4 linked regions of the Rhinolophus ferrumequinum genome follow. The protein of the gene in region 3 interacts with the protein of the main gene of each other region in a pairwise test. Links are inferred from orthologs where the notes say so. Each region holds a gene or a part of one and is shown on either strand. Other genes may lie near its edges.

Region 1 (7,343 bases), on a different chromosome or scaffold from region 3:
TCCTCTCCCTCCCCCATTCCTCACAGCCGCTTGGTGTCCTCAGCTCCGTGGGCCCAGGTGCCCACCTTTCCCTGGGACTGAGCCCAACCATTCCCGCTCCCGGGCCGGTGGGAACCACCTCCCATTCATGGTCCCTGCCAGCCAGAGCTCTTTCAGTTCCAAGGGACACAACCCAGGTGACTTCAAGAGGGGAAATGTTTATTGGCTCACGTAACTAAGAAGCCTAAGGCATGAAGGCTTCAGGCAAGACTGGGTTCAGGTGTTCAGATGTCATCAGACGACTGTGCCTCTGCGCCAACTGGTTCTACTGTGCTGGCTTTGTTCTCAGTCAGAATTGCCCCTCAGGGTTGGAAGCAGCTTCCAGCAGCACCCGGCTGACATTCCGCCAGCTTTGCTACACTAGCATGGCCGCCATCACCCTCACCTGGACTCCTCAGAGGGTTCCCTGCTGCTCTCCCAGCCACGGGGAAGCCAGCGATCATGTCAAAACCCCTTCCCACTGGTCCCATCTAAAGTCCCAGTGGTCATGACCGGCCTGTACCACTCACTGGGGCCAGAGCGAGTGTGGTGGGTGATGTGATTGGCCAGGCTGGTGATGTTCCCATCCCTCCACCCCAGGAAGTGGGGTCTGCTGCACACACTGCAGGTGGAGTACAGAAAAGGTGATTCCCCAAAAGAAGGCAGAGGTACTATATCCAGAGGGGGAGCACACGAGAGGCAGACAGGACCCACATGCCCCAGCTCCAGCTGCCCTGGGCCCTTCCACACCTGCCAGCAGCCTCCTAATTCACAGAAGTCAGATATCTTGGGTGAAAATTGAATTCTGCAGTCCTCCCACCTAAACCTCCTCACCGCCCTCTCCCTCACCAGGTTGGGTTTGCCTTGGGCACCCCCCACCTCACTCCATTCTCTCCCCTCCTATCCCACATCCCCTCCCTCACTACAAGCTTGCATCTGCCCTCTTAAAACACAAAAACAGAAACTCCCTGCTCCTCACTGAGCTACTGCTCCCTCTCCACTTCACAGCTCTGAGCGGTGTTGCTTCAGCTCACCTCAGTTTCTCACCTCCAGCTCTCCCTGCCTCATCAACAACCAGCAAGCCTCTGAGGCAGCTGTGCGGAAGGCTTCCCTAAAGCCTGCAATGTGTCCTGGTGTGTGACAACTGGCCTGTCCCTTCTCCCAGAGCCCCCTGGGTGGGCACATCCAGTGGCTCCTGGGGGTTCTGGGTCTGGCTGCTCTTCAGTCTCCTCTGATGGGCTGCCCCTCTCTCCCGAGGTGAAGTCACCTACTCTCAAAGTTCACACATCTGTCTCTAGGCCCGTGTCCAAGTGTCCACTCCACACCTCTCCTCAGCGTCCTCACAGGCACCCCAAATTCATCACAGTCAAACTTGTCATCTTCAGGCCTACTCCCGCTCTACCTCATGTCCCCCAGCTGGAAAAGGCCCCTGCCCGAGCTGCTGCAGAAAGAAACCTGAGAGCCCTTGAGGGTTCCCTCCCTCTCTGCCCTGTCCAGTCAACCATCAGCACTCAAGTTGACCCACTGCTTTCCATGCCTCCTGCCCAGCCTCAAGCCACTGCTCCCTGAAGCACACGTCTGCCTCCGTGGACACTGCAGCTTCAGGGTCCGCTCAGAAATGGCCATGGACTGACGAACTGTGTCACTGCCCCGATCACAAGCTGGCCTTCGAGACTCTCCACAACCATCCCACCTACCTCTGCTCCTGCTGCCCCTTCCTCTACCCTTCATGGCACCAGGCTCAGAGCTCTCCAGTTCCTATTACTCGTCCTGTCTGTCCCTTAGTTGCAGCCCCCAGTGGACAAAAAGGTCTCCGTCAGAGGACAAGAGGCTGTTCAGAGAACAGTAGGAACCTGTCCAGGGTCACACAGCACAATGAGATAGGTTGTCCCCCAGCACAGCGGCACCTGCTGGCTCAGGTCCTACACCACTCTGTCCACCTTCCTTCTCTCAGCACCCCTGGTCCTGCGCTGGCACACCCGTGGCCTCCAGCCCCTCCTTTCACTCAGCAGCTGCCCGGCCCACCCCTGCTCCTGCCCCAGCTCAGTGTGAGGAATTCAGGTGGAATGGTGGGAAGGCCGCCACAAAGCCCTAGACAGAGGCTGGGACAGACACTGATGTTCCCTTTTGTTATTATTTTTTTAATAAATTTAAGAACAGCTCTACCTTCTCTCCTCCCCCCAGAACAACTAAAACCAACTAAAAGGGGGTGTGGCCTGGGGGGCAGAGGGCGCTAGGAGTCATAATCTTCTTCATCCTCTGCGTCAGGTGCGGAGGGAACCGGAGGTGCTGGGGGCAGAGGCAGAGTCGAGGTGAAGGGCATGAAAGGTGTTGGGGGGCTGCAGGGCAGAAAGCAGGAGGGGCAATCAGGTCACTCTCCGGGCCCATTCCGACCCCCTGAGCCCCACTCCGCCCTCCACACAGACAGCATGGAGCCCCCCACCCTCTGTACCAAATGGGAGCCAAGCCCAGAGAAGGGAAGGGCCCGAGCAGGTCACAAAGGCCCTGCCCAGGCCCCATCCACTGTGGGGAAGGGACTTTCTGAGAGTACAGTCTCCTGTCTTTAAGCCCTCCTCAGTTCTTCCCTTCCCATCCCCCAAATCTGCCACAAACAACAGAAGCAAGTGACCAGGAAGGACAAGTCAGCCTTGGGGAGTCTGCTGGCCCCCTCCTGGAGCCACTGAGCTGCTTACCTCTGAAAGTGGGAAGGGGGGTGGCTGGCCTGGGGTGGAGCCTGCGCTGTCTCCTCTTCCCCATCAGTGTCACTGTCTTCAGACTCATCCTGGGAGCAAGGCAGGGGTCAGGGGTGACAAGAAAGGCATGGGACCATCACTGAAACCCCAGACCTCTCGGAGTGGCAGGGACAGGATGCTGACCTCCATCACCCCAATTTGAAAACAAAGAAATCAGGGTACAGTGAAGTCACAGGTGAGGGTGGGCCCAGGCCTCCAGCCGGCTCGAAGAGGCAGGACAGAGGGCTGGGGGCTTCACTCACCTCCTGCTCAGAGTCCGTCCCTGACAGCTTCTTGTCCTTGCCTTTGTTTCCCATCCCACCATTCTTCCGGCTGCTGCTGCCTGGCTTCCGGCCCCTTTGGGAAGGTATAATCCATCTGCTCAGAGGTGTCCCTGCTCCTTCGCCACCCCCCAACCCCCTCCATCCCTGGTGGCCTTGGCCTTCCAGCCTGGACACTCGGCCCTAACTCCCCACCTGCGGGCACCCTTGTCCCCGTCCATGTGGTTGTCTTCCCCATCCCCCTGCATGTCAGGCACAGATGCCACCAGGTCCTTTAAGAAGTCAAACTGCTGCTCCAGCTCGATGCACTGCTTCCTGAAAGAGGTGAGGCGGGGATGGCATCTGGCAGGGCCCCAGATGTCTGCTCTCTCAGCAAGGGTCAGCAAGAAGCTCTGGATATTAGGAGAATGGAGTCTGGAAAACCTCTACCACCCGACTTCCTCCCTTTGCTGGAACACCCAGCCTTTCCTCTCCAAGTTCGAACCACCAGTCTCTAAGGCCTTGCTGGTCTCCCAGTAGCCTCCCACCTCCCCATCAGGACATAGGCTCTCTTAAGTGTGTGAACGCCTGGGACAGGGCCCCACTGGGCTCTTCCAGCTCGCAGCCACTCACAGGTGGGATGTGGTCATGGTCTTGGCGTTTCGGGACTGGGTCACCTGGCAGGCCTTCTTCAACAGCGACTCCAGGAAGAGCTCAAGCGCCCGGGCTCAGAGTCGTCAAGGAGAACGCGGGAGTGGGGTCCCAGCCCTCACAAGGCGACCCCCGGCTGCCTCCTTCCCCCACGTCCCTCAACCCGGCCAGCCCCCGACAGGATACAGATGATGACAGGCACAGCCGCCGCCACCTTCCCAATCTCTTCGTCCGTCTGCATGATCTTCTTGATCCGCGCCTGGGGAGGAGGCAGAGAGGTCGGACCCCGTCGCCTCAGTCCCAGAATGGGGTACTGGGGAGAGCGAGAGGGGTATCCCGGGAGAAAGGGGGCGGGGGGCAACAACGCAAGGAGGGCACAGAAGGGGGCGGGGCGTCCGGGTCCCGGGGCACGGCGATGCGCCCGCCCCCCAGGCAGGCCTGGGCCCGAGCCTCCCGGGAGCTGGGCCCTCTCCTGCCGGGCCCAGCCACATGCTCACCGGCGGGAACCGCGCGTTGTACTTCTTTTTCTTGCTCGGCATCTCCGGGACTCTCTCGCCGCGCCGGGCCCAGCGCCGCCGCCTGCAGCCTCCCGGCCCCGGGGCCTGCTCGCCACCCGCCCGTCGAGGTTCCCCCGGGTCCTGGTGCCGCCCGCTCCGCCCCCGCCGCTCCCCACGGGGTCCTAGCGCCGCCGGTAGGCAGCCTCTCGCAGGGTCCGAGTGCCCGCCCCTCGGAACCTCCTGGGCTGTGCGCGTCGGTCCGGGACCCGACCGCCACTCCCGCCCGCCCCCAGGCCAGAAGAGCGAACGTTAGCCCCGCCCCGCCGCAGGCCCGCCCCTCCTGGGTTTCTTGATGGCCTCGCCCCTGGGGTCAGCCCCGCCCAAGTCCCGCCCCCTCAGTGGCCGGCCCCGCCCCGCGGCGCGGCTGCTCTGGCTCGGGGGCCCCGCCCCGTGCCGCGCTTGTCTATCTATAAAGTTGTTGTTGAGGCGGCGGGGCGCTAAGATGGCGGCGGCGGCGGCAGCCGTGGCGGGGGCGGGGCGCGGCGGCGCGGAGCCCCGGCAGGAGCGGAGCCAGGCGCGGGGCTGGGTCGGTGCCGAACGCAGCGAAGGCCGAAGGTGACGGCGGGGCGGCGGGAGGGGGCAGAGTCGGGCGGGAGCCAAGCTCTTGCGATGGGCGCTAATGGCGGCGGGCGCGGCGGGGCCAGAGGCTGGCCCTCCCGCTGGTTCTAACAAGCCGGGGTTCGAGTCCGGGCACCGCCCCATTGGCCTCGGACCCGTCACTGCCTTCTCTGGTCCTCAGTGTCCTTATTTTTTAAGTGGGCCAGATAACGCCCGCCTGGGAGGACTTGCCCTGCAGGGCCTGCCTCGGTGCTGAGCGAACGGGGGCTCCTGCGCTTCCCTGCATTAAATGCCAGCGCCCAGGATACCTGCCAGTCACTGGCAGGGCCAGGAGGTGTAGCTGGGTCAGTTGCACCCACACTTGAATTTACAATTAGGCCCTGTCGCTCACTATAGGTGTGACCTTGGGTGAGTCCCTTCTCTCTGAGCTTGTTTCTTGTCTGTAAGTCAGGAAGAGTAGAAATAACATGAGCAATAACACTCAGTCGTGCTTATTCCACCTCAGGCATTTAATTGTCAACAGCGCATTGAGCCAGGAACAGTTGTTATCATTGTTAAGATGAGGCAACTGAGGCACGAGGACTTTAAATCCTGACCAAGGCCACACAGTTTAGTCTAATGCTTGGCACCCGCTAGGGCCCAGCAAGCTGCAAATCTGTCACGAACTTTGTTTCCCTCACAGCAGGATGGAGTCAGGTGAGGAGCTGGAGGAGGAGGACTCTCCAGGTGGCCGTGAGGATGGCTTCACTGCTGAGCATCTGGCTGCAGAGGCCATGGCAGCTGACATGGACCCCTGGTTGGTGTTTGACGCCCGCACCACACCTGCCTCTGAGCTAGATGCCTGGTTGGCCAAGTACCCGCCATCCCAAGTTACTCGCTACGGGGACCCTAGCTCACCCAACTCTGAGCCCGTGGGCTGGATTGCAGCGTATGGGCAGGGCTACATCCCCAACTCGGGTGATGTGCAGGGCCTGCAGGCAGCCTGGGAAGCCCTGCAGACCAGCGGGCGGCCCGTCACGCCAGGTACCCTGCGCCAGCTGGCCATCACCCACCACGTGCTCTCGGGAAAGTGGCTGATGCACCTGGCACCTGGCTTCAAGCTGGACCATGCCTGGGCTGGCATTGCTCGGGCTGTGGTCGAGGGCCGGCTTCAGGTGGCCAAGGTGAGCCCACGGGCCAGGGAGGGTGGGCGCCAGGTCATCTGTGTTTATACAGACGACTTCACGGACCGCTTGGGTGTGCTGGAGGCAGATGCAGCCATCCGTGCAGCAGGCATTAAGTGCCTGCTCACCTACAAGCCTGATGTCTACACCTACCTGGGCATCTACCGGGCCAACCGCTGGCATCTCTGCCCCACTCTCTATGAGAGCCGTTTCCAGCTGGGGGGCAATGCTCGTGGCTCCCGTGTGCTGGACCGTGCCAACAATGTGGAACTGACCTAGTGGGGCCAAGTTGGGGAGACCACCCTCTGTACCCCCTGCTAGGGATGGATCCTCCCGTCTTTCTCCTCCTCCTCGTCCCAAGGAGGCCATGTCCCACAGCTCTAAGACTAGGTCACTCGGGAACTGCTTGCATCTTCGATCCCCTTGAACTTTTGCCCTCTGTTCAGGGCTGAGTCAAGTCCCCACCTGCTGGAGGTTCTGGCTCTCTTAGGACCGGACCCTCAGCCTCTCTCTTCGATGCTGCTCTGCTCTGCCATCCAGGACCATAGGCTGGGTACAGACACCCAGGAGAGAGCCTGCCTTGGCCACCCTTATCCCTGGCTGTACCTCCCCCTCCTCCTGCATTCTCCTCTTCCTCACAAAAGAGAAAACTTAGTGCTTCCAGTCCCTCTCCTTGGAGCCTTCACAGCCCGGGGGGCAGAGGCCCTGCAGGCCTGAGCATGCCTTTTTTTTGGGGGGAGGGTAGGGGGGGCCACTCAGCCCCTGGCAGAAAGAGGGGATGCCAGGGCCATGAACATGGTGTCTGCTCCTCCCTGCCACCTCACAGCCTGCACTACCTTCCCTTCACTATCTTGCCATGTGCCTGCTCCTGGCATTTCAATAAAACCCAGCTTGGGTCTGTGTGTTGAGTGTTTTTTAAAATACCATGTTGTTGGTTACCTGCTTTGGTTGCTGGAGAGAGGCAGGGCCAGGAGAGACTGCCTCTCCGCCCTGACTGGGCCCTCCTAACTGCCCCCAGTAATAAGATACACCTTACTGCCAAGGCTGGGAATCTCTCTTGAGAGCCTCTGCAAAGCCAGCACTGCTTCGCCTTCATCCCAAGAATCAGAATCATCTTCTCAGTGATTTCCCATAAATCCAGGGGTTTGGCCCAGCAAAGTCCAAGGGGCCACTACTAACCCACAGGGTGTATTTGTGCTTATAAGAGAAAGGTATCCTCTTGGTCCTGGCAGTTCCTATGTCAAAGCACATGCATGGTCTGGTGAGTGAGCAGATGGGCTGGATTTCAGCAACGTAGGGTGGACATCCTTGTGCAGCAAACAATCTGCACAACCATAAGTAACCGTGGAATCCCAGCTGGCTATACTCACCTCTCCACCATCCTGGCCATCACAGGGCCCACTG
Region 2 (7,859 bases), on a different chromosome or scaffold from region 3:
TAAGTGGAATTTTTATACAGGAAAGGGGGCGCAGAAAATAACTGCTTTTTGATACACATCTACTCAGGAGGTGATTGTGGGGTACATTTTCTCATTTACTCCTCACATTATCTCTCTTTTGGAGATGGAAAGAGTGAGGCTCAGAGAGGTTGTGTAATTTATCTAAGAACATTCAGCTAGAAAATAGTAGAACTGGATCCAAACCCAGACCTGTTTGACTAAAAAAACACTATTATTATACTAAGAAAATTCAAATTTCTACAAAGACTCCGATGCAACCTAGAAAATATTTATGATAAATGGGAAAGTGAAAATATAAAACTGCTTATTAGATTAAAACCATGTAAAAATATGTTTACAAGTGGACAAAGAGTAAAAGGAAATCATTGGGTAATTACAGTTGACGGTAACATTCTTTAAAAATTATACAGTACAATAAAAGGTATAAAAGGAAATCAATTTAACTGGATAAAACAAATCTGTCACACTCACATTTTTCACTATGTAAAAAGAACAGAAAGGAATACCATACATGGTATGCTAGATATAGAAATTGAAGACTTTCAAAAGAAGACTTTAATTATGATTAATCTGAGCTCCCACATCCTATGAGGTCAATGGTTTGGTTACTATCAATACTCCAAACAACAAAATGCTATCATTAAACATGACCTACCCAAATGTATAATTGGAACTAAAACTTGAAGTTTATACCTATAATTTAACAAAAGGTCACAGCATGGTCACTGAATATAAATAAAACAATTACACAGTTTTTGTATTTTCTTCACCATATTCAGTGACCATGTATTTTATCCTTTATATTTAAGGCTTTTAACTTATTTCCCTATTTAAGAATACCAAAATCTGACTCATATTCATTAGTACACAAACTTGGTTGGTGGAACATGAATTCCAATAATTTCTTAATTTCTTGAAAATCTTAGGTCTGACAAATGAAAAGACATAAAACATCTGAGAAGGAGTTATCTAAAATTGAAATATTTTACAACAAAGACGGTAGTAATCTTATTAGCGCTAAACTTGTTCAGTCACAACATACAGTTACTTGGTTTGTGAAACAATAAGAAGTGTTCAACTTTTTTAAAATGCAAGAATGTTTTAAAAAATAGCAAACTAGAATAATCCTAAATAAGGTACAAGAGTTAAATATAACTATTCCTCCAATTTCTAAGTGGTTACTGATAATTCGTTAGAAAAGCCTACAAAACTACTACGGCCTTTTGTTAAATTACAATTGATAGTAGAATGTATTCACACCTTTAAGAAACAAGCATTCTAAAGGAAATTAGTACTTACTTGATAATCATTTCGCTTAATATTTGGAACATCCATGTTGTGAGTAGAAGGACAAATATCTTCATATTTTTTGCCGGTGAAAATATCAATTCCAACAAGGTGAACCTAACAAAGAAGGGAGAACAGGAAACCTGTTTAATCTTTGCCAAGTATATCACTCATTACATACACAGGAGCACAATACCAACGCTGATTATAGCAGATTATTTCTCCTTTCAAGGTCATCTAATTTTACTTTCTTAAAAAAATGTCGCGGTCATAAAATTGAGAAGCAGTGAACAACTAAATGGTATCATGACATATCAAGACTCAAATCCTATATAGTGCAGTAATTCAATTATAAGAGTGCACAAGAAAAATGAACTTAGGTTCCTTGGAATTATGTTAGAACAGGGTTTCTCATCTGTAAACTGAACAGATCTTCTGACTCACTGGGATTCAGGAAAGTTTCAGTTCCCAATTAATGAAACATTATAAGAGCTCAAGAAGGAAATGCTACCTTTCAGTATTCAAAACGATAGTTGAACACCCAGTAATAGTGGGAAGAAAAAAAAAGTGCTTATTACAAAGTTCTAAGTACAGAAATCTCATGTTCTGTAATGTAATACAAATGATCAAAATCTCAACGTAAAGACAGACCTGGAAGGGCACTTACCTTGGCATGACCGTGTTTTCCAGTTTTGGAAGTTGACATCTCCACTATTTTGCATGGTCGTCCTTTGAGCACCACGAAGCCGTTTTTGCGCAGGGCCGAGCACTGCATAGGGTAAGTGCTGGAAGCCCCAGCATCTCCAGTAGTGAAATCAATTTCATCCGCCATGGTGGGCTGGGGAGATGGTAGCTTTTCGGAGGGAACTACGCAAAAAGTTTGTTTGCTTTTTAACAATGGGCAATCAGGTAACGAAAAATCTCATTTCGGACAGGTTACGTGCCAAGCATCGTGGATCTATTATTTTTGCATCTATAGAAGACCCACCCAAGAACAGTGGGCGCTTTCTAACTCTTGGCCTCTACAAACTTTTCCATCCATTGATGGGAAGGTGGGGAAGGAAGTCGCAGAGAGCGAGCTGGGGGGTGGAGGATACCCGCCCAGGGGGCTCACCAGGCTGGGAGCAGCAAATCCCGGCCCCCATCGTCCCACCGCAGGCGGAGCCGGCGACCTTTCCGCACAGCGCCGCACCGCCCGGCCCTCCGCCGCCGCCCTGATCCCCACTGCGGGGGACCCAGCCCAGGCCGCACGTCCGCGCGAAGGATGGGGATAACATGACCAGGCCAGCAGCACCTGGCCCTCGCGCATCTGGCGCGCACTCCGGTCCCCGGCTGCGGCGTGCTATCCCCGGCCTCTCAGGCGCCCCCTTGTCCTGCAGGCATCCTCGGCCCGGCTCGGCCCCGCACGGGCCTGAGCCCTGGCGAGTGCCGCGCTCGCCTCCGTTCTCCCATCCAGCCTTCCTCTTTCCCTCGTTGGGACTCCCGTCGCCTTTCCCGGCCCTGCCTCGCTCCGGTCCCAACCCCACCACTTTTCCCCCATGTCTTTACCTTTCAGCAAAGAAAGAGCTGCTTTCGCCTGCGCACCCGCGCCGGTCCCCTACAGCGGCGGCGGCGGCAGCGGCAGCGGTGGCGGCCGCGGTAGTTCCAAGAGACAGGGCGGGGCCGCCACACTTTCCACACCCCGGCCTCCCCGCCCTTTCCCGCCCCCACCTCAGTCCCATTTCCGGGATAGGTCCGGCGCGTCACAGGCACCACCCTTCCAGGCTACCATTGGCTACAAGCTTCCTGAGGCCCCGCCTAGTCACGTGAAGAGCGTCCTGGCTACCCCACGTGCTGCGGATTAGTGCACTTCCGGCGCGTGAAGTGCATTTTCTGGAGGCGGGTTGCTGAGGGTAAACTCGCTTGCAAAGAAACTTCCTGCTGCAAACTTTTAGGTTCGTTGTGTTCAAGTTTCAGTGGAAGTTTATGGGAATTGGGCCGCGCGCATGGTGGCCCCTGCCCTCAGGTGCGTGCCAGTTGTTACTTGTAGGTTGTCAAAACTCGAGAGGCAAGAGATCTCAATGGATGCCAGTGTGGCTGTGGAGGAAACTTTGGGTTCCAACTTCTGGTCCATCTTGCAGCCCTCTTTGGTAGTCAAACCCAGCTTGTTCCTCCAGGAAGAGTCCAAGTGCGGTATTTTATTTTCCAGATGCACACTGCATGCTCTGCAGAGAACCCCAGCCACCCATTATGACTCATGGCAGCGACTGCCCCTGGGTGCCCTGCCCACTCCCATGGGTGGGAACTCGTGAGACATTCTTGAACTGAACTAAAAAGCAGTGGTGAAATGACCTAACTCACTTCTCCCTCCGGAAGCTGTTAGGGAGTTGTGGAGGCAAGTGGATGTCTAACTGGTACCACATTGTCCAATTCAGGAAGGTGTTCTGCCAAACTCAGCTCTTTCCTCCTGGCGTTGGCATTCTATCGAGTTACAGATATGTCCATCCTCCTTAGAATGGTTGGGTTATCTGTAGCCAGTAGAGACTTGTATAGGATTAAGGACCAAAGTTTTTTAAAAAAAGATGTGAGCCCTTTTTCATGGTTTCATTTCACAACCCACCACATTTTCCTACCTTGGAGAGGTGACTTCCACACCCCAGTTTATGTGGCCCTGTGATTTCGTATTGCTGTCTCATGAACAGTCCTATTTTTCACATTCCTATGTGGCTCTACAGTTACACAGATATTTCACACATGCTGTGTAACTTAACCTTTGCAATAAACAGGGGAACTCCCATAAACAACTCAGCCTCTAGCTAATAGAAATAGCCGGATTAGAATCCAGTTCGTGAGCCCACTCTGCTTTTCCTTACATTACCTAACCTTTCCTGTCTGTTGTTATTAAGAGTGTTTGCTAATATTTAAAGAGTATTTATGTAAGCGGGTAGTTAATTGTTTTACGTGCATTATTTACTCTTGGCTGTTACTCTCTTTCAACCTCAAGTTTATTAAGTTATTTATGCAAAGTAAAAGTTACCGGTTTTAGTTATATGAATATTGAAGAACATAAACATTTGTGTAAATACCACTATAATCAAGATATAGAATATTTCCTCATTCTAAAAGTTTTCTCCTGCCCTCTTCTGGTCAGTCCCCTCCCTCACGTGCAGCCCATGGCAATCATTAACAACTATTTTATTTACATTTTCAGTTATGGAAAAGGGCAGAGAAAAGTTAAGTAATTTGCTCCAAATCACACAGCTAGCAAGTCAGAAGGCCAACATTGAACTCTAGCCAGTTTGGCTCCATAATCACTGCTTTAACTACCATCATATGCATCATAGTGAATTCACATAAGATTTGGATTTGGAATCAAAATGATCCAGCTTCATTCATTAAATAAATACAGCTGAGGCTAGTGAAGTCACCGGAACACAAAATCGTTACTTCTAGGAGAAATGCAAAGTTAGGTTCCTGTAAGCTTCTGGTCACAACATTTTCATCAACTGACCAATATATTATCTTGTATTATATGTGTTTATTTAATCTATATTGATTCATTAACATTTAACTCACAGCCAACAGCTCTACAATTCATGTCCAAAGGAGGCTTATCTAACACATGTATTTTCTCTGTAAGGCACATCACAGCCTTCTCATTCTTAAAAACACTAGACAGCACTTCAGCACTATGCTCAGGGTCATTTTAAACAGTCAAGTCACCAACAAAAGTCAAAAAAATGTGAAAAAGTGGCACAGGTAGACTGAAAAAAAAACTCGTTTACCATTTGACAGTTGAAAATAGAAGGCAGAGCATGGCCTTGTTTGACCTTAGTCAGGAAAATATGTGTTGAATGACTCAAATCTTCCACTGTTCTGTGCATGTCCACAAATGATTGTGAAAGCATCTCATGTATTGATTTTGGGGTTATACGTAAATTTATCAAGTAGGGAAATTCATAAATATGGGATCCACAAATAAGGAGAATTGACTGTTTTTATTGTAGCACCCTTAGTGCTGAAATTATCATGTTGACCACGACATCCTCTTGTTTTTTATGTACTTGAAGTCTAGTGCAGGATACAAGCTAGCATTTTAGCAGCTATAATACATGCTACTAAAGAAGTAACTGTAGGATGTTGAAAAAGGGGGCTCCTTCTCATCTAGTCTAGGTTTTGTTCAATTGAAGTATGATGCAAGCCACATATAAATTGAGTTTTCTTGTAGCCACATTAAAATGTAAAAAGAGATGAAATTAATTTCAATAATATAGTTTGAAATTTAACTGAGTACATCTAAAATAATATTTCGCATGTACCAGTATAAAAATTATTAATAAGATTATTTTATACTAAGTCTTCAAAGCCTGGTGTAGAGTACATCTCAATTCAGACTAGCCACATTTTAAGGGTTCAGTGACTGTGTGACTGGTGGCTATCATATAGGGCATCACAGGTCTAGAAGATCTTGAGACTGCCTCTCTGGGAGTGATATCTTAATTTGACATCTGAAAAATAAGGAGTAGTAAGCAATGAACAGAGGTTTGGAAAAGGCATTTTAGGTAGAGGGATTAGGGGTACAAAAAACCTATAAGTGACAGAATTGTGACATCATTCTGGACCTCCACTGGTTTAATGTGACTGATAAAGTAGTAAAAAGAGATGGGTGAATCTGGATTTTCTCTCAAGGGCAATAGAAAGATATATAAACCGTATATAGAAGAAAATGACAAGGATGTATTTTTTTAATTTAGAAAGACCATTCTGATCATGATATGGAGAATTTTTTAGGGGGAGAGAATATTGGAAATAGGAAACCAATTAGGAAGAAATAGTTAATGTTGGTGAACAAAGGTGGTGACTGTGAGAACATAGAGAAGACAGATTCAAGAGAATTACAAGGGAAGGTGGAAAGAATGTCCTAAGTAATGTTGGAAGTCGAAATGAGAAGGGAGACACTGGGTGAGAAGAATAGGAAAGCATCAAATTAACGACTGGGGGAATGGTGGTACCATTCATTGAGATAGAAAATATAAGAGAAAAAGCAAGTTTCCATGGCAAGTTGAGTTCACTTTTGGCCAAATCGAGTTTAAGATTCTTGTGGGAGAGAGATATCTTAAATAGAGAAAGATATTTGTGAATCACCAGTATATAGACGATGGTTAAAGCAAAAGCAAGAGACTCTCTTCAGCTTTAAGGACACACACAGACTGAAAGTAACAGGATGAAAAAAGACAATCCATGCAAATGGAAACCAAAAGAAAGCTAGGATAGCTATACATTATCAGCCAAAATATACTTTTATACAAAGACTGTAATAAAAGACAAAGAAAGTCATATAATGATATAGGGGTCAATCCAACAAATGGATATAACATTATAAATATTTATGTACCTAATATAGGAGCACCTAAATATATAAAGCAAATATTGATAGACCTAAATGATACCACAAAAATGCAAAGGATCAGAAGAGACTCCATGAACAATTATATGCCAACCAACTGGACAACCTGAAGAAATGGATAAATTGATAGAAATATACAACTTACCAAGACTGAATCATGAATAGAAAAATCTAAACAGACCTATTACTACTAAGCTGACTGAATCAGTACTCAAAACCTCCCAACAAAGAAAATTTGGCTTCACTAGTGAATTGTACCAAACATTTAAATAATTAATACCAGTTCTTCTCAAACTTTCCCCCAAAATTGAAGAGGAAAGATCATTTCTAAACTTATATTATGAGGATAGCATTACCCTGATGCTATATATCAAACAAGGACACTACAAAAAAAAAAGAAAATTACAGGTCAGTATCTCTGATGAACATAGATGCAAAAATTTTCAACAAAATATTAGCAAACCAATTCAATAGTACATGAAAAGGATCGTATACTGTCATGGAGTGGAATTTATTCCAGGAAATGCAAGGATGGTTCAATATCTGCAAATCAATTACTGTGATACACCACTTTAACAATGAATGATAAAAATTATATGATCATCTCAATAGATGCAGAAAAAGCATTTGACAAAGTTCAACATACATCCATGATAAAAAAAAAAAAACCCTCTCAACAAACTGTGTATAGAGGGCCTCAATATAATAAAGGCCCTATATGACAAGCCCACAGTTAACTTCATACTCAATAGTGGAAAGCTGCAAGTTTTTCCTTTAAGATCAGTAATAAGATAAGGATGCCTACTCTGACTGCTTTTATTCAATATAGTCTTGGAGGTACTAACCAGAGAAATTAGGCAAGAAAAAGAAATAACAGCACCCAAATTGGAAAAGAAGAAGTAAAATCGTCTCTATTTGCAGATGGCATTACATTACATATAGAAACCCTAAAGACTCCACCAAAAAATCTGTTAGACTTCATCAATGAATTTAGTGAAGTTGCAAGATATATCAATATACAAAAACAGTTTTGTTTCTATACATTAACAATGATGAATCAGAAAGAAAAACTAAGAAAACAGTCTTATTTACAATTGCATCAAAAAGAATAAAATACGTAGGAATAAATGTAATCAAGGTGAAAGACCTATACACCAAAACTATA
Region 3 (7,414 bases):
CCTCCCTACTCACCTGATCTGGCCCCCAATGACTTCTTTCTTTACCCAAAGATAAAGGAAATATTGAAAGGAAGACATTTTGATGATATTCAGGACATCAAGGGTAATGACGACAGCTCTGATGGCCATTCCAGAAAAAGAGTTCCAAGATTGCTTTTAAGGGTGCACTTAGGTGCTAGTGTGGGTGCAGAGCTTCCCAAGGGGAGTACTTCGAAGGTGACATAGTGATATTCAGCAATGAGGCATGTAGCACTTTTTCTAGGATGAGTTCGTGAACTTAATCACCCAACCTCATATGAAGTGAAGACGTGGAGTGCAGAAGATAAGGCTGAAGAAACAGGCAGAGGCCAGATTATGGAGGAACTTGTCAGCCACGTCCAAGAGTTTGGATCTAAGGCTAATGGATGGTTTTAAAGCACAAGAATGGTATAGTCATTCATACAGAGAACTCAATCAGCAAAGGGTTTAAATAGGTTTGAATGGCTTTCGAAGGGGACAAAAGTGTAGACAGGCATAATAAGAGACCATTCCCGTAGTTAAGGTGAAAGATGATGAAGATTTGAACAAGGACAGTGGCAATCAAGATGGAAAAGAAATGGATTCATATTTGATTATAAAATCAGTAGGACTTGGTGGCTGGATGTTGTGGGGTTGGTGGGAGTTGGTGAGAGAGAGAGTCAACGATGGCTCCCGATTTTCTAACCTGTATATCAGTGGATGGTGGCATAAGGAATATGGGAGTAAGAGTAAACTTGGAAAGAGATGTTGAGTAGGTTGAGTTTGGGATGCCTATGAGTCTCCCCTTGGAGGTGTTCAGCAGACAATTAGATATGTAGGTCTAAAGCCCAGGGAAAGATTCAGGCTGGATATATGGTCCTGGGACCATGGGTAAAATCATGAGAATGGATGAGATTATCCAACGAGTGTGTGTGGGTTGAGAGGTATTATGCATCTCTCCCTCATCCCATGTTTCCCCGAAAATAAGACCTAACCAGAAAATAAGCCCTAGCATGATTTTTCAGGATGACATCCGCTGAACATAAGCCCTAATGCATCTCTTGGAGCAAAAATTAATATAAGACTCGGTCTTATTTTCGGGGAAACACAGCATTCCCATTCAGACTTCAATTTTCCTAGTTCTTTGTCTTCTTTTTCATACTATTACGCATCGATAACCCTTGGGTTAAAAACCATATAAGAAATACTGTTTACTGGTCTGAATTACATTTATGACCACAAATTTCAAATGGACATTCAGTACAGCCAGATATACCTTATAAAATTCCACTCTCAAGACCACATTTTCAGCTTCTCCTCTTCCTCGAATCTCCTATTCCCTCGTTGCCTTTCACTCTCGGTTGAACTTGACCTCATACTTCACTATAAAAAAAAAAAAGGCAGTTTGACTACCTCATTTTCATACCATCAAGTACCATGTTCTCTGCATCTGCTCTGTCTTCCTTCTTGTTACCACAGAAGTGTCTCCATTCCAATCTACTGCCAACCCTATACCTGTGCTCTAGATTTCATCCTTTCTTCCTTACTCATCAACCCCTTCCTTTCTTTTATCATCCATTTCTCCTTCACTACTGAGTCAGTCTCACTGTTATACAAATATGCCTTAATATCACCCTCTACAAACAAAATAAACTTCAGTTCCAGAGCTTGCTAGTGCTGATAATCATTTTCTTCTCTTCTCCAGAGCACACAGCTAAATTACGTTTCTCAAATTATATTTCTCAGTCCCCTTGGGGAGGCCACATGGAAAGTAGACTGCAACCAGAAGTAACGTATTTCACTTTCAGGCCTGGCCCATAAAAATCTCTCATTCTCTCTTTCCTTTTCTAACGTGACTTTGAAGGCCACATTTTGGTGCTACAAGATTGAAGTCACCTCGGTCCCTGGGTTACTCCTGGAAGAGAAAGTCACTCAACTCACACTGGACTGTGACTCAAATGATAAACTTTAATTATGTTAACTGGTTGAGACTGTAGTTGTCAGTGATAGCCCTTAGCCTAAAATAACGCCACATCGCCTTCCAGCTAATGCCCCATTTCTATTTCCTTTAACACTCTTTGAAGAGTTGTCTATACTCATCGTTTCCATCATTCTCTTCTCAACTTCCTCCCATTCAGCCCTCATCCCCACCATTCCACTGACATGGCTCTTATCAAGGTCATTAACGACCTTCATCTTGCCAAAGCCAAGGTCATTTCTTTTTTTCCTTTTTTTAATTTTTATTGGGGAATATTGGGGAACTGTGTTTTTCTAGGACCCATCAGCTCCAAGTCATGCTGCTGTTTTCACTCTAGTTGTGGAGGGCACAGCTCACTGGCCCATGTGGGAACTGAACCAGTGACTTGAAGTTATGAGCACTGCGCTCTAACCCAGAGCCAACCTACCGCCCCAAGGTCATTTCTTTATTGTCATCTTTTTCATTCTCTCAGCATCATTTAACACAGCTGACTTCCATTCCTTTTGAACCTTCTGGGACACTAGTCTATTGGTTTTTCTACTTCACTGGCAGCTCTTTCTTTTCTACTAGTTCTCGACTTGGAGGGTCAAGGGCTCTTTTTAATTTTTTCTCTATCTGCACCATTTCTTTAGGTAGTACTATCGTAAATGAAATGCTACTGACTCCCCAATCTTTATTTCTAGCCCTGATTCCCCTTAGCTTGAGTTCTGCATATTCAACTGTCTACTTCAGGATGTCTAATAAGCATCTGTAATGTAAGGTATCCAAAACACAACTCCTGATTTTCCTTCTCAAATGTTTTTCTTCACCAGCCTTCCTTTTTACCTGGTTGCTCAGACCAAAAATGTGAGTTTCCCTGATTCCTTTTCTCCCCTCCCATCTACCAAGGCCATCTGGTTCTGTTACCAAAATATCTTACTAAATCTAACCTCGTTTCACCATCTCCTCCGCAAAAACACTAGTTGAAACCACTTTTACTTCTCAGACTACTGCAACAACCTCTTAACTGCTTTGCCTTCATTCACCCTTGCCCCTAGTTAGTGTATACTAACAGTTTAACACATCACTCAGAGTAAACATCTCAAAATGTAATGTCAATCACACACTTAAAACTCTTCATAGCTTTCTGTGTGCAACTGGAATAAAATCTATCCTCCTTACCAAGTGAGATTTCTTTTTTGTCTTTGCAATCTCTTCAGTGCATCACAGTATGGTTTAATGCTTATTCAATCCTTTCATTCTTTTCTACTTTTCTGCATTTTGTGGAAAGGATATTTTGGGGTTCGTAGGAAATTTTTGTGTTTTTTTCTTTCCTCTCCCCACTGTGTCCTCCAACTTCAGCACTTGTATAGCAGGCTCACGTTCCCCACTCTTCGTCATTTCATACTGCAAGGGGTAGTGGGAAGAGCGTGGAGCTTTGGAGTGAGACTCTGGGTTTAAACTGTGCTTTTCTTTTTACCAGTATTCTGAAGTATGAACTTAATTTCTCTGAAGTACTACTTCTCTGAACCACGATTACCTCATCTATAAAATGAGGGTACTATGTCATAAATGAGGTAAATCAACTGATACATACAAGGTTCTTAGCACATAAAGGAAACACAGTAATACTCGATTCCTTTAACATACTAAACAGTTCGTTCCTTCCCCCGCCTCATGGGTATTTCTATCAAATCCCACGATAGAGTCGACCCCACTAATCTTGAGCAGTGCATTAAATGAGACAACGAACTCGCAGTGCGGACCTTAGGAGTTTAAAAAGTTAGTAGGTAAAATCCGTAAAGTTAACTGAGTCCTCGCAATTTAGATGTAAAGAGGGAAAATCAGACTGCGGGGGTCCCCGTATGCAAATGCATGCATTACACACGAATACTGGCGACAGCCACTTCCGCACTTCCCCTCTAGGGCACTCCGCGACAGTAGCGCTGCATCGCCCGCCTGTGCGGAGGCGGAGATTTGCATGTGCGAAATAGGGAAGAGGGGGAACCACCCATCGAAAATCCCGGGCCTTAGTACCGCCCCGCCCCCCTGCTCCAGCCAGGGAGGGCTGGCCCCACTTCGCCGGCCGGCCCGCCCCAAGTACTCCCCGGCAGCCGGCCCTCTCGACGTCACCGCACCCTCCTACCCGCTTCTGAACTTTAAACCACGCGCCGAAGAACAGCCCGGAGGAGGGGGATTTCTAAGGAGCTGGCGGCTTTCGCACGCTCGGGGCCGTCACTTCTCGGCTCCCCGTGTTCCCTGCATACCCGAAGATCCCGCGCCCCAGCTCCCCCGACGGGGTCCCGAGCCCACTGCTGCACCCGGGGTGGTAGCGGGGGCGGGGTACGGGCGGGGCGGAGCGCGGGCCGTCGTGTGCGGTTGCGCGCTAGCCGCCCCGCCCCTCCGCCCTCCCGCCCCCAGAGAGGGCGGCGGTGAGGAGCCTACGTCAGCTGCGGGAAATCCCCCTCCCGCTAAGGCGCGGGTCTCTCTGGCCCTGAGGTGCTGGGCTCTCGCTGCGCTCCGCCCCCCTACCCTTGGCTCCAGCACCCTGGACGGGCGAGGCCGGGGACAGCAGGGGCGCGAGAATTAAGGGGGTGGGAAGGTGTGAGCCGCAAACCAAAGCAGGGCGGAAAGGAGGAGGAGGCCCCGACGGTGGTCAGTGGGACAGGGGGTCCCGCCGGCAGAGGACTGACTGGCGGGCTGACTGACAGCGGCGGCCTCCGGTCCAGAGGCTCGGAGTGGAGCGGAGCGGCGCGGTGAACGGAGTCATGGCTTCGGGTGAGTGTCCTGGGCGCCACCGGCGGTGCCCGAGCTGGGGGGAACCTGGGGCTCGTCCCGGGGCTTTGCCGCTCAGTTTTGATTGTGGCGCGTTCTCTCTAAAATTGCCCGGTCTGGCAAATTGTCAACCTTGTAACAAGTAAGGTGGTTCGGGGGTTTGCCTGCGAAATCAAAGTCACGCTCTGTAATTTGATGCCATTATAGTAGCCGGAACCTTAGAAATTCCCAACGACTCTGTTTTAGGACTAGGGAAGTAATGAGAATCTAAATGGAGGACTAGGAGTTCGCGTATTTAAAAATTGGTTTACATCGAAATGGTGGTTTTATGTTTTACAACAGGAATGAGGAACCTTCAGACCTCTGAAAAGCTCTGAGTTTTTTAGTTTAATTTCATCAAGTACCAAGAGGTGATCGCTGTTGTGCTGACAGTTGTACAAAACGTGTGGCTTTAAAAGTCACCGGTGGTGTTTTAACAGGTCTTAAGTGGAAATGTTGCTTCAACACGGTGGATAGATTTTACTGCACAGTGCGCACGTTCTAACTTACGGAGCAGAAGTCATGTTGCTTTGGTTTTGTTTTTTTCCTCCTTTGTTGGAAAGAAGGGGGAAAGAGGAATTTTAGAATACTTGTGCTTCAAAATATGGGTAGGGAGTAAAAGAATTTCCTATCACTTGTGTAAATGTTTATTTTCAGTTAATAAATGCGTGAATCTCTTGCTTTGAGGGGAAACGAATTTACCAAGAAAGAGTTCAGAGGAAAGGGGGTGAGTCTCATACCGGTCCGGAATATACAACTATGGTTTAGGTCAGCCTGTGACCGAAGGGAAGTAAGTGAAGAATCCTTTACAGGATTCTGGCCGGGTTCCGAGGGCGCTTTCCCGGCAGAGGGAGCAGCGTGAGCGGTCACGGAGGCTTACAAGTTACTCCTGAACGCTGTACTGACAAGTTGAAGAGGGGGGGCCTTGTTTATGCTTGACCCGCATCCTCCCAACTCCCTGGTACAGTGACCCTCAGCAGAAGGTTGATGTCTAGCAGAGAAGAGGAAGTAGAAAGCTTAGAGGACTTTTTAAAGGGGTTGAACAGAAAAATGTCATAGCTACTGCTGTAGGCTAAAAAGGAAATTGGGGTAGTTCACACGACATTTGATTTCAGTTTGTCTGTGGTTTTCATGTGAGCATACAAGTGGAGTTTAAAATATTTCAACTTTCTCTTAACCCACTTCAGTGACCCCCAAACTTTCAGATAATTCAAAGGCCGTTTAGATTAAAACTGCAAAGATGACTTAAAATATTTGATTAATTTATTGGTTATCAGAAAGAAATTTTGTATAAAAATAGTAAAGAATAGCGAGTATTATAAATAAAAGAAAAAGGTCAGCCTGCTGGCAATTTAAGCGAACTTTGTTAATACATGGCATGAATGTAATACTCCCAATTCTTTCAAAAGAGAGAAAAGAAGTAACCATGTTTACATAGGTATTGTAAGACCTACATCATTTAAAACTGTGATACAATTGAAAATTATTTAATGACACTATATTTTTGTGATGTTATGAGGACCCTCAATTGAACGGGGGGGGGGGAATAAGGAATGGAAAGTTGTAATCATAACATGTTATTTAAATTATAATTCAATTGTTTGAAAACTGCTAAGCAAATTTTTAAAAAGAAGTCGGGGTGTACTTTCCTTAATTAATTTTAAAGACCTTAGAGGAAGAGTGACTAAATTATCAATTCCTATCCTGTTTTGAAACAGTAATTTAACCAAAAGAATCACAGGGGAAAAAAGTGCTAAATTAGTTTATCATTATCTAGTTTAGATTCTGTTTGTAGTAAGGTAGTATTAAAACTCAAAAAGTATTTTTATTGATTACAAAGATTTTAAGACCATTTCTACATTTCTCCCCGGATGTCATATGTAAATATGTGTGTGTAGTTGAATATATGATCTGCATAACGTAAAAAGTAACATCATAATCTCATAAGCAAATTTATAAGAACCATGAGTAACTGGTACTTTGATACATATTTCTAAATTTTGTTCAGGTAAGCTGTCAGATTATTCAGGATTTCCCAGTTTAGGTTCTATTAAGCTGTCTTTATTGCTTTTTTAAAATTACACCTTGGTTTCAGTCTTTTGACATGATGAATTAAAATAGGCATTGTGAAGAAAAATGTACCCAGACCCATCTAGGGTATGCATAGCATAGTTAGGCAATCATTACTCTTGTACATTTTAAGTAAAATTAGCTCTTTTATATCAGAATTTAAAGCTTCTCATTGTTCCAGTAGAAAGTGTAAAATGTTCTTGTGTGCCCCTGGCTCTATTTACTAATAAATAGTACTGTCTTTGGTAAAATACGTTTTAACATTTAGATAATTTTTATTCCTAGTTTTCTTTAGTATAGTTCTGCTTTGTCACGGAGTAGGAAGTACACTAAGAAATTGTTTTTGTAAACCGCACACTACTTACCAACTCTTTGTCTGCTGTATGAATTTCAAGAGAACTGTTTCCCTTGAGTAAGGGGGGAAAATATGAATGTAAGTATGTTGCAACTTCAATCTTTAATGATAGAGCTGGAAGCTGGAATTGATAACTAAAGCAAATGACTTCTTTTTTTTTTAATGTAGAAGACTACACATGTAAACATAAAGGCTGTTTTGGAAATGCAGTACATGAAAAT
Region 4 (7,680 bases), on a different chromosome or scaffold from region 3:
TTAGTGGGGGATCAGAGATGGTAAAGATGCACTAACTAGGCAGTGCAGAAGGAGAAGGTGAGGGAATGGTGTTTAAGTCACAGGGAATAGCATGTGCAAAGGCCCTGTGGTAGGAGGGAGCAACAAGGGGAGATAGATCTCTCCACAAACCCCCCACCTGATGTTCTGTGGCACGGGAAGGTCAGGGACCTCCTGGCTTTCATAGAGGAAGAAAGAGAAATTCAGCTGTGGCCCCAGACCTCAAACCCCCCTTTTCCCGTGGTCCTAGCTAGGTCTGTGGGGTCATGGGTCAGTCTCCCCTTGTCCACTCCTCTCTCCCAGGCCCTTGTGACCATCTCTCTTCCTAGAGAGCAGAATATAGGGGGGATGTGGCCACACCAGGTCCTTCCTTTCCCTGGGGTCACCCTGAGTTAATGGAGGGAGCCAAGGAAACCCTCCAAAAGCTGCCCTGGAGCCTAATCTCTACCACCTAGGCAGGCCTAAGCATGAGGCCACCCTGCCCTTGGCATCTGTGTCAAGCAGACACTTCCTCCCAACCTCTCCAAATCCTATGTATTTGGAGGAGCATCCAGTGGCATCTGTCCATCCTAGACGTCTGCGGGATGGGACTGATTTAGCCATAATGTACGGACAGTGTGGGCAGGGGCTCCTGCAAAGCTTAACTGCACCCCAATAATGGAGATGCCATTCACCCCACAGAGTTTCCTTTAGCTGGCAGCTTATAGGCTTGAATTAGGACTGCAAGCCGGACACCTCTGGCCATGGAGCGATGCCAGGAGTTTTGGGGGCACCTGAAAGATGGGAGGGAGAGACACTGCAGTGAGTGGGCAAGAGGTGTGAACTTAGTGTTATGTACCATGGCAACACATCACTGCAGTCCAGCTTCTCAGCTCACACGCCAGGGGGCACCAAAAGAATGCGCCACTTTTTGGATTGCAGGAGGAGCCAGGCACACCATGGAAGAGAGGAGTCGTCTGCCAAACCCCTGGCACCCAGGTGGTTAGAACGAAAGTCCCCCACACACAGCAATAACTGAAGTGTGAGCAAGCGGCAGTGTACTGCAGGCTCAGGGGAGGACATCTGCTCTGTGTTGGACCAACAGGGACCTCAGGAACCACGTGACCTGGAACACGGAGCTGGGCAGGCAGAAAGACATGACATAGTGAGCAGCTGGCCGTGCACCACCCTGCCTGGATTCCAGTCCTGGCTTTGTGCTTGCTGACTGTGAGACCTCAGGAGGCTCCTTAACTTCAGATTCCTGGTCCAAAAACAGGGATAATAATTGTGCCTCCCTCAGAATGTGTCCAAAACATTAAATGAGCTAACACTGCACTGACTGATATGGCAAACATTGACCACCTGTATTAGTTTGCTAGGACTGCTTAATAAGATACCCCAGACTGAGTGGCTCCAACTACAGAATGTTATTCCCTCATTGTTCGGGAGGCTAACAGTCCAAGACCAAGGTGTCAGCAGGCATTGCCCTTTCTAAGGGCGATGAGGAAAAATTTGTTCCGCGCCTCCCCCCTAGGTTCTGATGATTTGCTGGCAATCTTTGGTGTTCCTGGGCTTGTAGAAGCATCACCTCAAACTCTGCCTTCATCTTCACATAACATTCTCCCTGTGCGTGTGTGTTTCCAAATTTCCCCCTTTAATAAGGACACCAGTCATATTGGATTAGAGGCCCAGCTTATTCCACTTTGACCTTATCTTAACTAATTACTTCTGCAAAGACCCTGTTTCCAAGTAAGGCCACATTCTTAAGTGCTGGGGTTTAGGACTTCAACATCTGAATGTGGGGCAGGGACACAATTCAACCCATAACACCACATGTGGCTATTTGAGCATTTGAAATGTGGCTAGTTGGAATTGAAATGTGCTAGTATGCTACACGCACACTGGATTTCAAAGAGCTGATACAAAAATAAAAAGAATGCAAGATATCTCACTATGAATTCTTAATTTATCTCATTTATTGGTCACATTGATCACATTTTGAAATGATATTTTGGGTACATTATATTAAATAAAACATATTATTCAAATTAAAAATTTTTATGTGTCTGCTGGAGAATTTCAAGTTACCTGTGTGGCTCCCACTACCTAGCTGTTGGACAGCACTGAGCTAATATTTACAAAATCCTTAGACCAGGGCCTGGCCCATAGAAAATACCTTTAAGTGCTGGTTAAATAAAGTTACCTTGTGACGTGTGGCATTTTAAAAATATCACTTTTCCTACTCCACTGGAGAAAGTTGGGGACAAACTTCTTTTCTCGTGTGGCCCTTCTTTTATTGACTGGATTTTGTTTTACATTTCAGAAGCATACGGCATATGTAATGTTGTCCTATCTTTTCCAAATTGTTCCCTTCGATTTTTTTCCATGTGTTTTATAAACTCTTTATCAACCACATTAAGCATCGTGGTTTCCTGAAAAAATATTTCCAATTTTCCTGTTAATAATGCACAAACAACATTAAGCTGAAAATATTTTCTGTTAGTTAGGATGATTGGGCAAAGTGGTAAACTACTGAAGGATCCTAATGCATATTGTCAAATAGTTTTCTAGAAAAACTGAACCAATTTCTAGTCCTGCCAGCAATGTATGAATGTCTCCATTTCACCAACTTCTGGCTAACTAACTCTATTGTTTTTTTAAAGGCTTTGTGTATGTTTGTTTTGTTGCTATAATAATTTGGTGGAGGAAAAAAGTATCTTATTATTTATATACACATTTCTTTGATGATCTGGAAGTTGAGCATTTATCCGCTTCATTGCATTCCTCTTCTGGTAATTGGTGTTTTGAGTCTTTTGTCCATTTCTTAGTGTCTTACTATTTTTCTTATCAATTTGCACACGTTCTTTAAAAGATATCCGGTTTTGTATATTTTATTTTTCCCAACTTCACGTCAGCAATGACTGACTTAATGCCTTACAACTGATTGTCCCTTTGTGATTTCTGTCATTGCTTTTAGGTACAGATCATGCCCTTCCAGAGATGTGGTGTCACTTTTACTTTCTTTTAGCTTTTTGTATTTTCTCTCTCTCTCTCTCTCTCTCTCTCTCTCTCTCTCTCTCTCTCTCTCTCTCTCTCTCGCTCAGATTTAAAGTCTAGGACAGCACTGTCCAAATGAAATATAATGCAAGCTGCAAATTTGAGTCACACCCATAATTTAAACTTTCCTGGTATCTACATTTTTAAAAATTAAAAGATTAGAGCACAGAAAATTTTTAGGGTAGTGGCACTATTCTGTATGATACATCAAGATACCACAATGGTGAACACATGTCATTATGCAGTTGTACAAACCCATAGAATGTACAACACCAGGACTGAACCTACCGTAAACTATGGGCTTTGGGTGACAATGACGTAGTTCTTGAGTTCTAACAAATGTAGCCCTCTGCTGTGTGTGGTCCACAGTGGGGCAGGCTGTGTGTGGGGGTGGGGGGTATATGAGAGCTCTCTATGCTTTCTGCTCAATTTTGCTGTGAATCTAAAACTGCCCCAAAAATAAAGTTTATTAATTTGAGAAATTCTAATTTATAAAAAAGTAAAAGAAACAGGTGAAATTCATTTTAACAATATATCTTATTGACCCAATATACCCCGAAACATTATCATTTCAACATGTCATTAATATAAGATATGAATGAATGGAATCTATTTAATTTTTGGGGTATTAGGCCTTTGAAATTTGGTGCGGATTTTACACTCACAGCACTTCTCCATTTTCCCTAGTGACAAGCCAATTCCCAAAGCTCAATAGCAACATGTGGCTTGTGGCCACCAGGCTGGTCAGCGCTGGCTTAGAACTTCGTTTGAGCCCAAGGGAGGGCAGAGGGGAAAGGTTCTGGTGGCCTGATTTACCTCCCTGTTTACCTTTACCTCCCATTTGCTCCTCTCTCTGGAAAATTCCTGCCCTACCAATTTGAGTTTTCTCACCTTCCCCAGTGACCTTTGCCTGACTCTTGGATGCCATCCTGGACACCTGTGTCAGCCACCCAACACCCTTTGGCCTCCCAACCCCTCCATCACTCCACCCAGGGCTTCCCCACTGCCACCTCCCTCTCCCTGGCCTTTGGGCTGTGGCTCCTGCCCAGTAGCTCACAAGGGAGCCATTCCTGGGTCTCTACCCCTGTGGCTTGCTGCTCCAGTGACAGCCTCAAAAGCAATGATTATGAAACAATATTCCTACCAGCCAACACTTGCCGGGTATGCAATGCCAGGCAGAACCATGGCAGATTATCTTATCTAATCCTCCAGACCATCTTGAAGCCTGGAATCCTCTTGCACATAAGGGCTCTCCTATCAGTTAGTGAACACTAACAGGGTGCAGCCTGTGTTCAAAGTCAGGGGAGGAAGGTTGGGGGCCCCTTGGGAATAAAGTCCTGAGGACCACCTAGAAGGTGGAACCAAGTTTATAAAAAGTTCCTCCATTTTGCTGGAAGGGGATCTTGGTGTTCCCTGAAACTTGCCCTGGGATGCGGGGTGGGGGCGCCTGCTTCCCCCAACTGAAATCTGTGCTCTGGGAGGGAAAGTGGCACCTCCTTGCCCCAGGTAGGGTGCGTCTTGGCGACTGGCCTTGGCAAAAACCCCAGAGGGGAGGAGAGCCCGGCGGGACAGGGCGGGGTGAAGCTAGCCCTCTCCCATCGGGGCGGGACAAACATTTGACGTACCCGGCAAAACCAGGAGCCCATGAGCACCACGAGTGGCAAAGCCAGGCACCCACGGGCACCATGAGCGGCAGAGTCGGGGACCTGAGCTCCCAGCAGCAGGAGGCGCTGGCCAGGGTGAGGGGCTTCGTGGTGGGGAGGCTTGGGGAGGGGCCGAGCAGCCAGACGCTGCCCACCTGGGCTGGAGCCTCTATCTGACGACTGAGGAGGGACCCTGGAGACTGCCTGTGTGCAGTTGCTGTGGCAGCTGTGTATAGAAACCCGGCAGGAGTCCTTCTCTGGGCAAATCCAGCTTTTCACTCCTGCCCGCTCCAGGCCCTTGTTCTCTGGTTGTGGGGAGAGGTGGGTGGGTGACCTGGCGCTGCCATCCATCCGGCTTCTGAGAAGCTTTGGGCAGACAGACTCCCAGATCTCCTGCCGAGATTGCAACACATTTGTTTGGTTTCTCTTTGGGCCTGTTGTCAATGTTTTCGTTAAAGGGAGATGGAGAAGTTTTTGGTGATTTCAAGACAGTACTGAAGGCCACACCTAGAAGTGTCAGGGCCATGGGGAAGGGCGAGCGTAGCCAAGTCTTAGGTGCCATAGCGTTAATTCGGTTTGCAGATGGCCAGGACAGTAAATTGGGACTTCAGGGTGGGGGATGGGGGTGGGTCACAGCCCTGCCTCACACTTTGGACCTGTGAAAGGGCAGCTTCAGACTTCTGGACAATGAGTTCTTTTTAGGCTCCTAACCTGGGGAAAACCTAAGGGTGCTCCAGGGAGGAATGAGAACCCCTGGTGAAGAGGGGTGGGGGGACCTGAGTGAATTCCTGGTGAACGAGAGAAGGGTCTCAGATGAATGATGGGGTCCCTGGTGAATTCCCAGGTAAAAGAGAAGGTTCCAGAAGCAGAGGGTCCCCCGATGAGGAGGCGTCCTCAGGTGAAGGACAGAAGGTCCCCTGGTGAACCCTCCCCTCCCCACTGGCAGTGGCCTCAGAGATGCCCCAGATACTAGGCTCCTAGGAGGGACTGGACACCTGGCCTTTGGGGGTGAATTATGATGGAGGTGCCTGTGGGCCAAAGAGCTTTAAACAATGTAAAAAGAGTTTATTCTTCTTTTTACCATTATTTAAAAGAAATGAATGCTATTTTTAAAATTAGGGAAAAAGAGAAAAGTAGGAAGGGGGAAAGGCCACTGACAGTCCCAGAGGTCTAGTCCTGGGAGCATTTCCTTCCCGCTTTTTCCTAAGTCTTGACCTCCTGTGGTCACACTGCCAGATGCTCCTTTCTCCACATGGCCTCATCCTAAGATGAGTTTTTCCTCCACGTTGCTCCAGGCCCTTCCCAGCACCTGCTTAGTGGCTTTCTCTTAGCTGATTGACATGTGCTCCAAGGGTGGAGTGGCCTCGAGATTGGAAGACGTGGACTCCTCCTGGCCTTGGAACTTCCTCACTCTGTTCCTGGGGAAGACCCCCCACCCCTTCGACCCCTCCTCCCCAGCCTCAATTCCTTCATCTGCAAAGCAGGGATATGACCTCTGCCCCTCCTGCTTCAGGTTCAAAGGAGGGAATCTGGTCCTCTGGAGGGGCTGAGTGGTGCAGTTATTGTTTCTCAGGTAGTGTCCGTCCCCTCCCCCTTGCCCCCCCAGAAAAAACTCTTCCTCAGGAGCACAGAGGTTACAGCTGGTCAATGTGAAAGAAGCTCCATTCCAGGTGTCTGTCCCAACTGGGGATTGTTACAGCAGTTGTCGTTGCTCGTGTTGTTAACACGGCAGATGTTTAAGTTGATTATTTATTTTTAATTGTGTGAGCAATACGTGAATACATTCTTATTTTAAACATCATTATGGTGCTAAAGCTTGTTTGATGGGTGGCTATCAAGACAGCTCCCATGGCTCCGCTGGCACCTGTTTCTAATTCCAAATTCTCAGTCACAGATTTCCCCAGCACACCCAGTCCCCCAGGCCTCACCGTTCGTTCCCTTCATCCTTACGGGAGTGGGGTCTCCTCTCTATGTCAAACCTGAGCCTCGGTTCCAAACCCAAATTCCTAGCGGCTTCCCCAAACTCTGCCAGTAGCAAAAGTTACCCCCAGCAGATCAGCCGCCCTCCTTCCCCCAGCTCCAACAGGGCCCCGATGAGGCAGCCCTGACCTCTCTTTCAGTCCCTACCTGCTGACCTTTGCTTTTGTTTCCACAAAGATTCCACTGTCCAGGACTCTGGGCAGTCCACTTTTGCTGAGTGCCCACATTTATGTGGCACCTGCTGCAAGCCAGGCCTGACGCTAAGTGCTTTACCTGCCCAAGTTCTTTTGATTGGCACAAGTTTATCATTATTCCCACTTCGCAGATGAGGAAACTGAGGTTCAGAGAGGTTAAGTAACTTGCTTCCAAATCCAGGCCCTCAAGATGCAGTATCAGGGGCAATATTCCCCAAATGCTCTGGTTGGCCTGCATGAAATTCGCCAGAGATCTGGGCAAAAATAGGGATGGCAGGGCCCCACCTCAGACCTATAGAATGATGGTCTTGGGGGGGCAGAGATCCTCCAAAGTTTGAGAAGGACTCAACTCTTCCTACCATGGTGGGCTGGGGGGGGAGGGGGTGGCCCATTCCCAGGTGGCAAAATGGCCCAGGCGGCTGCTGCTAACTGTGCCGTCCTCACCTGCAGGGTCCCTGGGCAGGGCTGACTGGCTGACTGAGGGTGGGACGAGCCGGGGATGGAATTGGAGGCCGGGGGATCGTGGGAGCCCTCTGACAATCATCTTCCCCACCCCCACCCCCCAGTTCCGGGGTAACCTCCAGGACCTGCTGCCGACCATGCCCAAAGCTGATGACTACTTCCTCCTGCGCTGGCTGCGAGGTAAGGCTGGCAGGTTCAGAGGTTTCTCAAGAGAAGGTGTGGAAGATTTGGGGAGACAGTGCCACAGAACGGTAAAGAACGCAAGCTCTGGAATGAGCCCATTTTGTGTTAGAATCTAAACTCCCCTTCAAATCGGCGTGGCACAAAATCTCCGCTGAGCCTCAATT

What was found. The genes of interacting proteins can lie anywhere in the genome.
Region 1: the proteins of REL (region 3) and C11H11orf68 interact in binary tests that used the Homo sapiens proteins (3 or more experiments, as listed by UniProt). The two-hybrid records come from large-scale screens. The link is inferred for Rhinolophus ferrumequinum from reciprocal best matches to the Homo sapiens genes REL and C11orf68.
Region 2: the proteins of REL (region 3) and EIF5A2 interact in binary tests that used the Homo sapiens proteins (3 or more experiments, as listed by UniProt). The two-hybrid records come from large-scale screens. The link is inferred for Rhinolophus ferrumequinum from reciprocal best matches to the Homo sapiens genes REL and EIF5A2.
Region 4: the proteins of REL (region 3) and SEC14-like protein 4 interact in binary tests that used the Homo sapiens proteins (3 or more experiments, as listed by UniProt). The two-hybrid records come from large-scale screens. The link is inferred for Rhinolophus ferrumequinum from reciprocal best matches to the Homo sapiens genes REL and SEC14L4.

Annotation. Positions count from the first base shown.
Region 1 is NC_046294.1:5,915,859-5,923,201, forward strand, and holds C11H11orf68 (UPF0696 protein C11orf68 homolog), read left to right. Parts: upstream 1-4,628; 5' UTR 4,629-4,660; coding exon 4,661-4,773; intron 4,774-5,458; coding exon 5,459-6,218; 3' UTR 6,219-6,841; downstream 6,842-7,343. Other genes in the region: DRAP1 (dr1-associated corepressor), read right to left, coding at 2,252-2,357, 2,712-2,800, 3,014-3,107, 3,227-3,346, 3,644-3,737, 3,848-3,920, 4,159-4,200.
Region 2 is NC_046285.1:71,554,432-71,562,290, reverse strand, and holds the start of EIF5A2 (eukaryotic translation initiation factor 5A-2), read right to left. Parts: upstream 3,003-7,859; 5' UTR 2,857-3,002; intron 2,176-2,856; 5' UTR 2,141-2,175; coding exon 1,976-2,140; intron 1,426-1,975; coding exon 1,321-1,425; intron 1-1,320. UniProt on the Homo sapiens protein: Translation factor that promotes translation elongation and termination, particularly upon ribosome stalling at specific amino acid sequence contexts.
Region 3 is NC_046296.1:28,081,303-28,088,716, reverse strand, and holds the start of REL (proto-oncogene c-Rel), read left to right. Parts: upstream 1-4,399; 5' UTR 4,400-4,722; coding exon 4,723-4,732; intron 4,733-7,414. UniProt on the Homo sapiens protein: Proto-oncogene that may play a role in differentiation and lymphopoiesis.
Region 4 is NC_046308.1:19,658,089-19,665,768, reverse strand, and holds the start of SEC14-like protein 4, read left to right. Parts: upstream 1-4,678; 5' UTR 4,679-4,739; coding exon 4,740-4,793; intron 4,794-7,437; coding exon 7,438-7,513; intron 7,514-7,680. UniProt on the Homo sapiens protein: Probable hydrophobic ligand-binding protein; may play a role in the transport of hydrophobic ligands like tocopherol, squalene and phospholipids.